Linked DNA regions of Macaca mulatta. The protein of the gene in region 1 purifies or fractionates together with the protein of each later gene. This does not show direct contact. Links are inferred from orthologs where the notes say so. Each region holds a gene or a part of one and is shown on either strand. Other genes may lie near its edges.

Region 1 (7,479 bases):
CCCAGGAGTCCCTGCCTACCCCTTGTTAGTGCTTCAGTAGTCTCTGCCAGGGCATCTCCCACTAGGTGGTACAGAATGGCTTCATCAGTGTTTGTGGACCCCAGATGTCTTTGTAGTCAGTTCTGTGTTTGGTTTTATAGTAAGATTATTTTGAATTTTATCGACTGTTTAGGTATGATCTCTCTAGAAAATATTGGAGTGTATCCCTGATTGGTCTCTGATGGGATGAGGAGAACTTATAGCAGGTGATGCCAAGCTCAATTATGCCTTGCTGAAGGCTGACTACCTTTTCACTAAAAATAGCTGTCCCAGCCAGGCGCAGTGGCTCACGCCTGTAATCCCAGCACTTTGGGAAGCCAAGGTGGGTGGATCACCTGAGGTCAGGAGTTCGAGACCAGCCTAGCCAACATGGCAAAACCCCATCTCTACTAAAAATACAAAAATTAGGCCAGGCGCGGTGGCTCAAGCCTGTAATCCCAGCACTTTGGGAGGCCGAGGCAGGTGGATCACGAGGTCAGGAGATCGAGACTATCCTGGCTAACCTGGATCGTGCCACTGCACTCCGGCCTGGGCAACAAGAGCGAAACTCTGTCTCAAACAAACAAAAAAAAAGTTATTTTCCTCTTGTGGTGACGTGGAAATAGCCTAGTACTAAAGAAGAGGTGTGATTTGGCTTTTCATGGACAAGTTTTTCCAAGTCTTTGTACCCTCAGTTTTCCTTAGCTATTGAGTGAGGATAATGATGAGGAGTTTTAAAGTTCTAAATGTAAATATTAGGGCAAAAAGGGTTAAAATTTCACGATTTAAGCTTCCATCTCATGATGCTAGGGGAAAGAACCCAAAGGAAGTAGAAGGAGACAAATAATAGCAGTAAAAACAGAAACTAATGAAAAAGGCTGGGCGCAGTGGCTCACGCCTGTAACCCCAGCACTTTGGGAGGCTGAGGCGAGTGGATCACCTGAGGTCAGGAGTTTGAGACCAGTCTGACCAACATGGTGAAACCCCATCTCTACTGAAAATACAAAAATTAGCTGGGTGTGGTGGCCAGCACCTGTGATACCAGCTACTCAGGAGGCTGAAGCAGGAGAATCACTTGAACTCAGGAGGTGGAGGATGCAGTAAGCCAAGATCACGCCATTGCACTCCAGCCCGGACGTCAAGAGCGAAACTCTGTCTCAAAAAAAAAGCCAAAAAAAATAAAAAAAAAACTTTTTCATTAAACAAGAATTATTTGTTTATTCAGCTTTTTTCCTAAGGTAGTTTTTTTCAGAGACAAAATCTTAGCCAATGCATCTGCAATCCTCTAAGACCACGTCCCTCAGAGATTAGCTGCGAGGGGTCCACCAGCTTGACCTCCTTGAGGCTGTGCTTTACTGTCCGTCATGAGCCTTCAGAGAATCTCCTGAGTGCCTCATTTTGTTGGGGTTGTCCCTCAGTGACCCTTTAGAACTTGATTTATCTTGTATCTCTGGTACTGTCTAGAAGGTATGTAAAGCCCTCATCATGTTCTGTTTCAGTGCTTGAGCAACACTGCACCACTGACTGACTACTTTCTCAAAGATGAGTATGAAGCCGAAATCAACAGAGACAACCCTCTGGGGATGAAAGGGGAAATTGCAGAAGCCTATGCAGAGCTCATTAAGCAGATGTGGTCTGGAAGGGATGCCCATGTGGCACCTCGCATGTTCAAAGTAGGTAGACATATATATATATACAGGTTGAGTATCTCTGTATATAGATGCTTGGGACCAGAAATGTTTTGGGACTTCAGGTTTTTTAGGGTTTTTTTTTTTTTACAGTATTTCCATTACGCTTACTAGTTCAGCATCCCCATTCCAAAATCTAAAATGTTTCAATGAGCATTTCCTTTGAATATCGTGTCAGTGTTAGAAAGGTTATGGATCTTTGAGCATTTGGATTTCAGATTTTCGGGTAAAGGATACACTCCTGTACTTCCTTTTTCCCACTTTGGGGAGAGTGGTTTAGTGTTGTTATGAGGCATTCCTTTTGTTGCATTTTGGGATTAAGATGGGATCTGGGCCAGGCGCTGTGGCTCACGCCTATAATCCCAGCACTTTGGGAGGCCGAGGCAGGTGGATCACTAGGTCAAGAGATTGAGACCATCCTGGCCAACATGGTGAAGCCCCGTCTCTACTAAAAATACAAAAAGTAGCTAGGCGTGGTGGCGCATGCCTGTAGTCCCAGCTACTTGGGAGACTGAGGCAGGAGAATCACTTGAACCTGGGAGGTGGAGGTTGCAGTGAGCTGAGATTGCGCCACTGCAGTCCAACCTGGTGGCAGAGTAAGACTCCGTCTCCAAAAAAAAAAAAAAAAAAAAAAAAAGATGGGATCTGATGACCAGTCACGATGGCTCACGCCTGTAATCTCAGCACTTTGGGGGGCCAAGGTGGGTGGATCACCTGAGGTCAGGAGTTCAAGACCAGCCTGGCTAACATGGTGAAACCCCTTCTCTACTAAAAATACAAAAATTAGCTGGGCATGGTGGTGCACACTTGTAATCCCAGCTACGTGGGAGGCTGAGGCAGGAGAATTGCTTGAACCTGGGAGATGCAGATTGCAGTGAGCCAAGATCACACCACTGCACTCCAGCCTAGGCAACAGAGCAAGACTCCATCTCAAAAAAAAAAAAAAAAAAAAAAAAAAGATGGAATCTGAGACTAAAAGTACCACATTGTCAAACCCTTTTTTTCCTGTCATTCAGTCATTTAGCACACCCCTAAGTGTCTTCACTGCCCACCTCTGGGTTGGGGATGTCTCAGAAGTTATTTGTAAGCTGATTCCTCAGAATGCTGTATTCTGTGATGGCAGTATTTAAATGGTCAGTTTCCTAAGCCAGACTATAAAAATTCAGTTTCTTGGAAGGCTGAGGTGGGAGGATCCCTGGAGCCCAGGAGTTTGAGACCCGCCTGGGCAACATAGTGAGACTCCGTTTTTGTTTTGTTTTGTTTGAGACAGAGTCTGACTCTCTTCTTGCCCAGGTTGGAGTGCAGTGGCACGATCTTGGCTCACTGCAGCCTACACCTCCCGGGTTCAAGCGATTCTCATGCCTTAGCCTCCTGAGTAGCTGAGACTACAGGTGTGCACCACCATGCCTGGCTAATTTTAGTATTTTTAGTAGAGATGGGGTTTCGCCATGTTGACCAGGCTGGTCTCAAACTCCTGATCTCAGGGGATCTGCCTGCCCCAGCCTCTCAAAGTGCTGGGATTATAGGCATGAGCCACTGCGCCTGATCAAGTCTCTGTTTCTTTAAAAACAACAAAAAAGTTGGCCAGGCGCAGTGGCTCACGCCTGTAATCCCAGCACTTTGGGAGGCCGAGGCGGGCAGATCACGAAGTCAGGAGATCGAGACCATCCTGGCTAATATGGTGAAACCCTGTCTCTGCTAAAAATACAAAAAAAAAAAAAAAAAAATTAGCCAGGTGTGATGGCAGGCGCCTGTAGTCCCAGCTGCTCGGGAGGCTGAGGCAGGAGAATAGCATGAACCCGGGAGGCAGAGCTTGCAGTGAGCCGAGATCGTGCCTCTGCACTCCAGCCTGGGTGACAGAACGAGACTCCATCTCAAAGAAAAAACAACAACAACAAAAAAAGTCCGGGCATGGTGGCTCGTTCCTGTAATCCAGCACTTTGGGAGGCTGAGGTGGGCAGATCACGAGGTCAGGAGTTTGAGATCAGCCTGACCAACATAATGAAACCTCGTCTCTACTGAAAATACAAAAATTAGCCAGGTGTGATGGTGCCCACCTGTAATTCCAGCTACTCAGGAGGCTGAGGCAGGAGAATTGCTTGAACCTGGGAGGTGGAGGTTGCAGTGAGCTGAGATCGCACCACTGCACTCCAGCCTGAGCAACAGAGCGAGACTCTGTCTCTAAAACAACAACAAAATTAGCTGGACATGGTGATGTACCTATAGTCCCAGCTACCAGGGAGGCTGAGGTGGGAGGAATTACTTAAGCCTGACAGGTCAAGGCTGCAGTGAGCTGTGATTGTGCCACTGTACTCCAGCCTTGGCGACACAGACCCTGTCCCAGAATAAAAAAATAAAAAAGAATTGGGTGGCAACACACTGTGCTGAAGCTAATGTAAATAAACAACTAGAAGGTAGTGTTTAGGGATATTAGGGAAGTGTGGAGCTTCCTCAGTGATGGATGTGTTATATATTTGTACTGTGTTATGGCAGCCACCAGCTCAAGCACCTCTGAGCACTTGAGATGTGGTTCATTTGACCAAGGAACTGAATTTTTAATGGTTTTTAATTGTAATTAATATAAATTTAGGTTGCCATATGTGGCTAGTGGCTATGGTATTAGAGAACAGGTGTAGAACAGTGGTGCTCCATTTTTTTTTTTTTTTTTTTTTTGAGACAGAGTCTTGCTCTGTCGCACAGGCTGGAGTGCACTGGCACGATTTTGGCTCACTGCAGCCTCCGCCTCCTGGGTTCAAGCAATTCTCCTGCCTCAGCCTCCCGTGTAGCTGGGATTACAGGTGTGCACCACCATGCCCAGCTAATTTTTGTATTTTTAGTAGAGACCAGGTTTCACCATGTTGGCCAGGCTGGTCTTGAACTCCCAACCTCAGGTGATCTGCCTGCCTCAGCCTCCCAAAATTCTGCGATTACAGGCGTGAGCCACCGTGCCTGGCTGGTTCTCCATAGGATACATCACAGTCTCTGGGAGTGCTTAATACAACATAGACTGCTAGACCCATCCGCAGAGTTTCTGATTGAATGGGTTTGCTGTGGGGGCCTGAGAATGTGCATTTCTACTAAGCTCCCAGGTGATACTAATGCTGCTGGCTAGGGACCATACTCTCAGAATAACTGGTGGAGAATAATACTGGACAGACAGTATTTAGGGACCTGAGGGCTGTTATGTACAGGAGGATTCCTCCAGCTGATGAAAGTATCGTTTGTAATGTCCTTATGGAGTTTAAGACTCTGAACCAAAGAAGGACATGTTGGAGAGGGATTCATGTCAGTACTTGGGTGTGGTTACTCAGGATACCCCACCCTTCCTCCCTAGGACTTAAGGTAGTGGCCCAGGTTCCAGATTCATCCTCCTGGCTCTCTGATCTAGGCCTTCTCTCTGGTGGGAACCACTGGCCTCCTGTAGGCTCTTCAGGAGTTAATTGGACTACTCAACCAAGTGTTCTCTCTCACTACCCAGCTAACTCCTCAAAGCTATTTTTGATGATAGTTCTCATTTGATTTAACTAGTTCTTTACATATTATGCCTTCTGATGCAGTTGCTTTTGTTGTAGACTCAAGTGGGACGTTTTGCTCCTCAATTTTCTGGCTACCAGCAACAAGATTCTCAGGAGCTGTTAGCCTTTCTTCTAGATGGATTGCATGAAGATCTGAACCGAGTAAAGAAGAAGCCCTACTTGGAGCTGAAGGATGCCAATGGGCGGCCAGACGCGGTATGCCATTAATGATGTCTGAACGAAGAAGCTGCCTCATATTGAGAGTGCAGGGATATTCTTCTGGTCTTTTGAGTGTTGCTGCCAGGGCCCTGGTTGCTTCTCACTGTAGCTAGTTATAGGTATATGGTCTCTGGTCAGAAAAGGGCTAACTGTAGTTACTGCTATTTTTTTTTTGTAATAGAGACAAAATCTTGCTATGTTGTCTAGGCTGGTCTCCAGCTCCTGAGCTTAAGCAGTCCTCTTACCTTAGCCTCCCAAAGTGCTGAGATTACAACAGGCGTGAGCCACTGTCCCCTAGTTACTCCTAATGCTTCCTCTTGGGCTTTTTCAAATTTGAGTGAGCTTGTTTGATATTTCACTGGTGAACTAGGGACTAAGAACACTCTGAAAACTGTAAAGTGCCTGTAGTGAGGACCCCTAAGATTGTTATCGCTCACAATAAAAGCTATCTATGATTACTTAATTTGTTATTAATATCATTAGGACATTTATACTTTTTACCTTGATTTTCTGATCAGTGCAAGAGGATTTTAGTATTTCAGCTGCCCTGTCACATTGGGATAATCAATATGAATGCTTTAAAGTAAAATTTAGATCTTCTTAGAAAAACTGTGAGTTAGCTGAACTGTAGTATAGATAAAATTATTAAAATTTATTTGTTTATTTTTTTGAGATGGAGTCTCACTCTGTCACCCAGGCTGGAGTGCAATGATGCGATCTCGCTCACTGCATCCTCCACCTCCCGGGTTCAAGCGATTCTCCTGTCTCAGCCTCTTGAGTAGCTGGGACTATAGCCATGTACCACCACACCCGGCAAATTTTTGTATTTTTAGTAGAGAGGGGATTTCACCATGTTGGCCAGGCTAATCTTGAACTCCTGACCTAAGGTGATCCATCTGCCTCGGCCTCTCAAAGTGCTGGGATTTCAGGCATGAGCCACTGTGCCCGGCCAAAAACTACTTTAGATCACTGGAAACATATAGGGGGACTTTCCTTGTCCTGGCCATGTATCTGTACCCATAGTGTCCTCCGGGTTCTGTTTCCTATCAGGACACACAAACCCCTAGTTTCCAATAGGTCCTATGATGCCAACCTTATTAAGTGTGGGGATTACAACGAGGCACAGTGGCTTACCCCTGCGGTTCCAGCACTTTGGAGGCTGAGGTGGGAGCATCACTTGAGGCCAGGAGCTCTAGAACCATCTGGTCAACATAGTAAAACCCCCATCCCTACCAAAACTAAAAAAACATTAGCCAGGCATGGTGGGGCGTGCCTATAGTCCTAGCTACTTGGGAGTCTGAGGCAGGAAGATCGCTTTGAGCCCAGGAGTTCGAGGCTGTAGTGAACCATGGTCGTGCCAGCCTGAGCGACAGAGCAAGACCATGTCTCAATCAATCAATATAATATATATTTGAAATATATATATAAACATATATATGAAATATATATATGTGTGTTGGGGTGGGGATTGGGTGTAGAGCTGGCATGTGGTATGAGTATGATACACTAAGAGTAGTCCTGGCCTTGCTTGTCCTGGATCAAGCTCTTGGCTGTACAGATTGCCGCCTGATTCATCTCCAGGTTTGCTGTGAGTCATTCTGGATGCAGGGGCAAGGGACTGAGTGGTGTTGAGAATGTCCTATTTATCCCTTCATGCAGGTGGTGGCAAAGGAAGCCTGGGAGAATCACAGGTTGAGGAATGATTCTGTGATTGTGGATACTTTCCATGGCCTCTTCAAATCTACTTTGGTTTGTCCAGAATGTGCTAAGGTTTCGGTGACCTTTGACCCATTTTGCTATCTAACGCTCCCACTGCCCTTGAAGAAAGATCGAGTTATGGAGGTTTTCCTGGTTCCTGCTGACCCTCACTGCAGACCTACCCAGGTAACAGAATCCACACCCTCATGGCACCCCTCACTGCAAGTGGTCTCCAGATCCCAGTGGGACTGCTCCTATCTGCTGCATTGGATGCCTCTGAGTCCCCTTGGTACTTGCCTGGGTATGGGCCCTTGGCCTCCATCAGACCTTCATGTAATCCC
Region 2 (7,579 bases), on another chromosome or scaffold:
ATCCCAGCACTTTGGAAGGCCGAGGCGGGTGGATCACTTGAGGTCAGGAGTTTGAGACCAGCCTGGCCAACACAGTGAAACCCTGTCTCTACTAAAAATACAAAAATTAGCCAGGCATGGTGGTGGGTGCCTGTAATCTCAGCTTCTCGGGAGGCTGAGATAGGAGAACTGCTTCAACCCAGGAGACGGACGTTGCAGTGAGCTGGGATTGTGCCACTGTACTCCAGTCTCTGCGACAGAGTGAGACTCTCAAAAAAAAAAAAGACATTGCACCTTCTACATGGATTGTAGACCTAAATTGAAAATGAACACTATAAAACTCCTGGAAGACAACATAGGAGAAAACTTAACTGATCTTGGGAATGGCAATGACTTTTTAGGGCAATATCAATAGCATAATCTGTGAAAAATATAATTCATAAGCTGGACTTCATTAAAATGTAAAACTTCTGCTCTTCAAAAGAATGAGAAGACAAGCCACAGACTAGGAGAAAATATTATCAAAGACATATCTGATAAAGGACTGTTATCTACAATATACCTAGAACTCTTAAATCGCAACAGGAAAATAACACAATGTAAAAATGGGCAAAATACCTGAACAAACACTTCATCAAAGAAGATATACACATGGCAAGTAAGTATATGAAAAGATGTTCAATAGCATATGTCATTAGGGCATTGCATGTAAAACAATAAGATACTACTACACACTTATTTGAACGGCCAAAATCCAAAATACTGACACCACAAAATGCTGACAAGGATGTGGAGCACAGAAACCATCATTCACTGCCGGTGGGAATGCAAAAAATGATGCAGCCACTTTGAAAAACGGTTTGGTAGTTTCTCACAAAACTAAATATACCATCCAATCCAGCAGTTGCACTCCTTGGGATTTACTCAGATGAATTGAAAACTCATGTCTACACAAAAATCTGCACATGATGTAAAGGGGCTTTATTCATAATTGCCCAAACTTGGACGCCACCAAGATGTCTTTCAGCAGGTGAATGGATAAGTCGCAGCACATCCAGACGATGGAATATTATTATTCAGCACAAAAAAGAAATGAGCTATCAAGCCATGAAGAGACATGGAAGAACTTTAAAAGCATATTACTAAGTGAAAGAAGCCGATGTGAAAAGGCTGCATACTGTATGATTCCAACTATATGCGATTCTGGAAAAGGCAAAACTATGGAGACAGTAAAAGGAGCAGTGGTTGCCAGTGGTCAGGGGACTGAGAAGGATGAATAGGCAGAGGACAGAGGATTTTCAGGGCAGTGAAACTATCGTGGATGATACCATAATGGTGGATACATGTCATTATATATTTGTCAAAACCCACAGAATGTGCAACACCGAGAGAAAATGCTATTGTAAACTATGGACTCTGGGTGATAATGATGTGTCAAAGTAGGGTCATCAATTGTTACCAAATGTACCACTGTAGCACAAGATGTCCATAAGGGGACAAGTTGTGTGTGTGTGTGCCTATGTGTACAGGGGATATATGGGAACTCTCTACTTTCTGTTCAATTTTGCCCTGAACCAAAAACTGCTCTAGAAGTGTTGGTTAATAACAGTAAAAGACAAAGACCCCTTCTGACCTAGGGAATCTCTGGTGATGGATGGGGAGGGCGAAGTAGTCCCCTAGAAAGTGGAAATTTTACAAAGTTCTTCAACTGATTTTGTAGAGCTAGGTTTGGAACTGCTACCCTACTCTATGCTACTCGCCCAAGTAGTGGTTCCCAAACCAGGTGTCAGGCTTCAAGGCCATGCAATATTCCTCATTACACTGTCTTGGCCCCAAACACATGCTTTCCCCTCTCCCTACAAATCAAGACTCTAAAATGCCAAGGGTAGAAGAGCAGTACTTTCCCGTGTACTGAATATGGGGGAAGGGAGAGCAGTCAAGCATGGACTGGCTATTCTAAGCCCCAAATGGGCTGAAGCTGATAACGCTTTGAAGATCGACCACGGCAGAAATATCTTGTTTTCTTTAATCCATCAGGGGGTTGTCCCACTTATTGAGTCCCACAGCTGCGGTATAGCACGGAGGGGGCCTCCCTGAAAGTCCTCCGCTCCAGCTCTCCGATTGGCGCTGGGGGAACAGGAGGGGAAGCGGAGGCTTTGCATCGAGCCTGCAACACGGGGCCCGGGCATCGAGGCCGAGGAGTCGTGGGTAGAGCCCCGATTTCAGCCAAGATGGCATAGGACGTAAGTAAGCGTGGAAAGCAAAATGGCTACGCAAGCGCAATTCTGTAAGGCCGAAGGGACGTTCTTCCAACCTCTTAAATTTCCCGGGCGCCACGCCCCTCAGTTGCTTGCCCTGGATTCCAAGGTGTCGCGCGGGAAGTGACCTCACGGCGGTGGCGTGGAGACGTGGGGGCGCTTCCGGCGGCGGCGGCGGCGGCGGTGACGGCCGAAGCTGTAGGGGTGGGCGTGGAGAGAGTTCTTCTGTGGGTCCTCTGGTATTGCGTGGTCGGCTTGGTGTGGTGTGCGGAGGAGCTCCAGGCCCGTCGGGGCGGAGGTGGGAGCGAAGGGAAGAGGCTGCTGGTGTGTGGACGCTCGTGGGAGGGGGATGCCGGGCTTGCTTTAGGCTTCGGAGTTCCAGGCCTCATAGACCTTTATAGAGGAAGGCAGGCAAGAGCTGGGGGCTTCATCGGGTTCGCAGGGGGCCAGGTACTATGGGCGGCCGCAGGAGTTTGGTTTGAGGTGGGAGGCTGAGGACTGCAGGATTCTAAATAGTACGGGGATTGTGTGAGGCGTGAGGCATTAGCTGCTTGGGCCCTTAGTCCAGCCTTGTTGGTGGCTGCTGTAGTTCATTGGCTCACTGATTTCTTCATGCCTCAGTTTCCCTTTGCATAATGAGATATGGTGGCAGAGAAGAACGCCAGTGCCACATCCATGACTAATAGCTTGAGGACAGAGGTGAACTGGAGGGTAGAAAAAGAGGATGCCTGAGAAATTTATACTTACCAGGTCACATCTTCTGAATCCCAGGAAGTTATCCCTGGATTCATTTCTGCCTTTGGTGCAAGTCTGTGGTTCTTATCAGTACTCTTTGTGTGATATTGATTGTATTTATCAATACTTGACTTGTTGAGTGGCTAAAGTGTTTTGGTTTGTGGGAGGCATAGCCCTTGTTGGCTTGGTCAATTGATTTTCAATTAATCTCCCAGTAGCAATTGCTTCGCCTAACTCTGCAATTGGGATATTAGTTGAAAATCAACTGACCAAGCCAACAATCTTCTCCTCTGGTTACAGATAAGGAACTCACGACCCAGAATGGTTTTTCTTTTCTTCCCTAGCCACAGACCAAACCGATTTCAGTCTGCTGTCTCAAATACAGGTCTTCACCCCACCAAAACAGAAATGGCTGTCTCCAAGCAGTTTAGTATTTCAGCTGGACACCCAGATGGATCCTAATCTTTTTTTTTTTTTTTTTTAATGAATGGCAGATTAGGTGTACTGAGCACAAAATTCTCTTAGCTGGTTTCTCTGTATGATGTAAAAATGGTTGTAAAAACATGACTTTTTGTTTATTACCAAATTCTTGGTAGAGCTTCCTTGGCATAGGGTTATGGGGCTAGAAAAGTGTCTCAAAATTTTTGACCTGTGACCTGCAGTTAGATATATTTTACATCACGACATTACTCATTGTGCCCCTGCACACTCAGTGTCTACACACACACACAGCCCCACCCACCGATGAAAAGTTTACTTACCCTTTCTACAGAAGATGCATTCTAAAAAAAAATTGGTTGCAACGCACTAAATTGTGTCTGAGCCCTAATAGGTCGTGAGGTATAGTTTGAAAAATATTAAGGGCGGGCACTGTGGCTCACGCCCGTAATCCCAGCACTTTGGGAGACTGAGGCGGGTGGATCACCTGAGGTCAGGAGTTGGAGACCAGTCTGGCCAACATGGTGAAACCCTGTCTCTACTAAAAATATAAAACTTAGCTGAGTGTGATGGTGGGTACCTGTAATCCCAGCTACTTGGGAGGCTGAGGCAGGAGAAACTCTTGAATCCAGGAGGCAGTGAGCCAAGATAGTGCTATTGCACTCCAGCCTGGGCAACAAGAGCCAAACTCTGTCTCAAAAAAAAAAAAGAGAAGAAAAATATTAGACTAGGGCCGAGTGCAGTGGTGAGAGGATTGCTTAAGGCCAGCCTGGGCAACATAGCAAGACTCTGTCTCTAAGAAAAACAACATTAGAAAATGCTTAAAATCTTTGCCATTTGTGAGATTCTGTAATTAATACATTATCATTTTTCTTTCTTTTTTTTTTTTTTTTTTTTTTGAGACGGAGTCTCGCTCTGTCGCCCAGGCTGGGGTGCAGTGGCCGGCTCTCAGCTCACTGCAAGCTCGGCCTCCCGGGTTTACGCCATTCTCTTGCCTCAGCCTCCCAAGTAGCTGGGACTGCAGGCGCCTGCCACCTCGCCCGGCTAGTTTTTTTGTATTTTTTAGTAGAGACGGAGTTTCACCCTGTTAGCCAGGATGGTCTTGATCTCCTGACCTCGTGATCCGCCCGTCTTGGCCTCCCAAAGTGCTGAGATTACAGGCTTGAGCCACCGCGCCCAGCCTCATTTTTCTTTTCTTATTCAGAGAAGGGCTTACTAGATTTCTCCTAAATTCAGCCAGAACAGCAGGACAGGACATCCAAATTGTGTCTCAAAGGAGTATAGTGACCATAATGATAGTGTGTCAGAATTTTAGCAAGGCATTTATGAAGTCTTTTTTTTTTTTTTTTTTGAGATGGAGTCTCATTCCATTGCCCAGGTTGGACAGAGTACAGTGGCACAATCTCTGCTTACTGTAACTTCCGCCTTCTAGGTTCAAGCGATTCTCCTGCCTCAGTCTTCCAAGTACCTGGGATTACAGGCATGCGTCACCACGCCTGGCTAATTTTTGTATTTTTAGTAGAGATGGGGTTTCACCATGTTGGCCAGGCTGGTCTCGAACTCCTGACCTCAGGTGATCCACCCATCTCAGCCTCCCAAAGTGCTGGGATTACAGGTGTGAGCCACTGCGCCTGGTCTTACTAAGTCTTATGATAACCGAGTGGGTGAGATGGAGGAATTTGCCAGATTGTGGTAGAATTAGATGGAGTCATGAGTTTGAGCATCTGTGTATGGAGATTTGATTTGTGAGCACTACTTGCAGCTGGAATTCTGGTGATCTGAACTGGGGTTTCATCACTTTATACAATTCATGTATTTGAAACCTTATCTAGAAGGTTTGCTTATTGGATTTGGTGCCTTTATGAAGTAAAGAAAGAGTCATTTGGTTGATGATTGCCAGAATGGGAAGAGATCTCAATATATTTACTCAGTGCTGTTTAATGAAATGGAAGAAGCTTGTATAAATGTTGAGAAATTGTGCTTGGGTCCAAAAAAAAAATCAACTATACCTATTGGGGGAGGGTGGAGATGTAACCTCACAGGAATTCCTGTAATAAAAAGATTTGGTGTTTTAATCACCAGTCAGTGGTGTGGTTAAGAAGGCTGTGAGAAGAACTGATGTGACCTGCATTAGTATATTGTGTTAGGAAAATACAAAACGTAGAATGAGAAAGGTTGCATCATTGGTAGGCTTGTACCTGGAATATTAGGTTTGGATCTAGATGTGCTAAGAGTAAATTTATGGGCAGAAGTCAAAAGTCTGAAGATATGGTGGTGTTGCTTTAGCATGAGTGATTGTTTTTCTCCTTGTCATTTCAGACTTTCAGGTATAGGCCGGGTTATTGGTCTTAAAACTTCTTCTTGAGAATGTCTGAAAGACTGGGGAATCTGTTAGATCTTATATACTTCTAAGTTGGCACCTGAAACTTTTCATCGTAGATTTAAATAGTGTAAGTATTTAATTTTAAATAGTTTAGGATGTAATTTCTGACAAGTAAATATTGACTTCTTAAAAATAAATATAAAATTACCTAAATACAGTATCAATTTGATGTTTTAAAAACATACAACTAAACTTTTGAAACAGACTAAGAAATATATAACATGGCTTGTTACATTACTTGATTTTCAGACTTTAAGCCCATCTTGCATTTGTGAAATGAACCCTACTTAGTCATGTATCTACTACTTTTTACATGTAAATGGATTCAATTTGCTAACATTTTGTTAAGAATTTTTGTGACTATGTTCATGATAGATTTTGGTCTGAGGTTTCCTTTTTTTTATGTCATCTTTGGCCTTAGTAGCAGAGTAATTATGACCTCATAAAATGAATTGAGAAGTGTTCCTTCCTCCTCTGTTTTCTGAAAGAGTTTGTGTAGGATTGGTATTATTTCTTACATGTTTTATAGAATTTACCAGTGAAGTCCTATGGCCCTGGGTTTTTCTCTCTAGGAAGATTTTACTAATTCAATTTCATAATACAGTTAGTTGAGTTAGTTTTGGTCATTTTTATCATTTTGGGAGTTTGTCCATTACATATTTTTCCTTTTTCTTTTTGAACTTGTATCCATTCCACTTTTCCCACAGAATTTTATCCTAAAGCAAAAGTCAACTTGCTGCGAAAGACCAGATGAAAGACTTTATGAGCCAAGTGGTTTCTGTGATTACTGCTCAACTATCACTGTAGTGAGAAAACAGCCATAGACAATATGTGGCCGGGCGCAGTGGCTCACGCCTGTAATCCCAGCGCTTTGGGAGGCCAAGGCAGGTGGATCTCGGGGTCAGGAGATCGAGACCATCCTGGCTAACACGGTGAAACCCCGTCTCTACTAAAAAATACAAAAAAAATTAGCCAGGCGTGGTGGCAGGCGCCTGTAGTCCCAGCTACTCGGGAGGCTGAGGCAGGAGAATAGCGTGCACCCGGGAGGCGGAGCTTGCAGTGAGCTGAGATCACACCACTGCACTCCAGTCTGGTTGACAGAGGGAGACTTCATCTCAAAAAAAAAAAAAAAAAAGCCAGGTGTGGTGGTGGGCGCCTGTAGTCCCAGCTATTCAGGAGGCTGAGGCCAGACCCAGTCTCTACTAAAAATACAAAAGTTAGCTGGGAGTGGTGGCAGGCACCTGTAGTCCCAGCTACTTGGGAGGCTGAGGCAGGAGAATCGCTTGAACCTGGGAGGTGGAGGTTGCAGTGAGCCGAGATCGCTCCACTGCACTCCAGCCTGGGTGATATAGCAAGACTGCATCTCAAAAAAAACCCCCAAAAAACAGAAAACAGCCGTAGATGATATGCAAGTATTTGTGTGTAGTTGTGTTCCAATAAAACTTTATTGGTAGCAGACCAGCTCTGGCTTAGGGCTGTAGTTTTCCTACCCATCCTAAAGTAATAAATTTTATGCTTGAAAATTTAAAATTGATCATCTAGTTATCCACACAAATCAGGATTATGACAGTAGTGTGGAAATCGATTCCCTTGCTTGCATATCTTTATGTACCCCCTAGGGATATGTGTATTCTAGTTTAAAGACCAGGACTTGATTTCCAAGATGTTGTAGAGGGAATTCATGTATTTTTGTCATTTTGTTTGGGTGAGAAGTGAGGTGGCCCTCACAGTGTTAATTTTCCAGGGCCGTAACTTAGGTTCCCTATGTGAACGGTATTCTTTTTTT

The links.
Region 2: the proteins of USP4 (region 1) and EDC3 purify together in Homo sapiens (co-immunoprecipitation; 3 studies listed by BioGRID and IntAct, with this or other methods). This does not show direct contact. The link is inferred for Macaca mulatta from reciprocal best matches to the Homo sapiens genes USP4 and EDC3.

The regions. Positions count from the first base shown.
Region 1 is NC_133407.1:112,740,754-112,748,232, reverse strand, and holds part of USP4 (ubiquitin carboxyl-terminal hydrolase 4), read left to right. Parts: exon of another isoform or gene 1-447; intron 448-1,031; exon of another isoform or gene 1,032-1,209; intron 1,210-1,517; coding exon 1,518-1,691; exon of another isoform or gene 1,692-2,071; intron 2,072-2,254; exon of another isoform or gene 2,255-2,345; intron 2,346-5,278; coding exon 5,279-5,437; exon of another isoform or gene 5,438-5,614; intron 5,615-7,099; coding exon 7,100-7,324; exon of another isoform or gene 7,325-7,479.
Region 2 is NC_133412.1:52,624,976-52,632,554, reverse strand, and holds the start of EDC3 (enhancer of mRNA-decapping protein 3), read left to right. Parts: upstream 1-2,366; 5' UTR 2,367-2,535; exon of another isoform or gene 2,536-2,561; intron 2,562-5,729; exon of another isoform or gene 5,730-5,860; intron 5,861-7,579. UniProt on the Homo sapiens protein: Binds single-stranded RNA. Involved in the process of mRNA degradation and in the positive regulation of mRNA decapping. May play a role in spermiogenesis and oogenesis.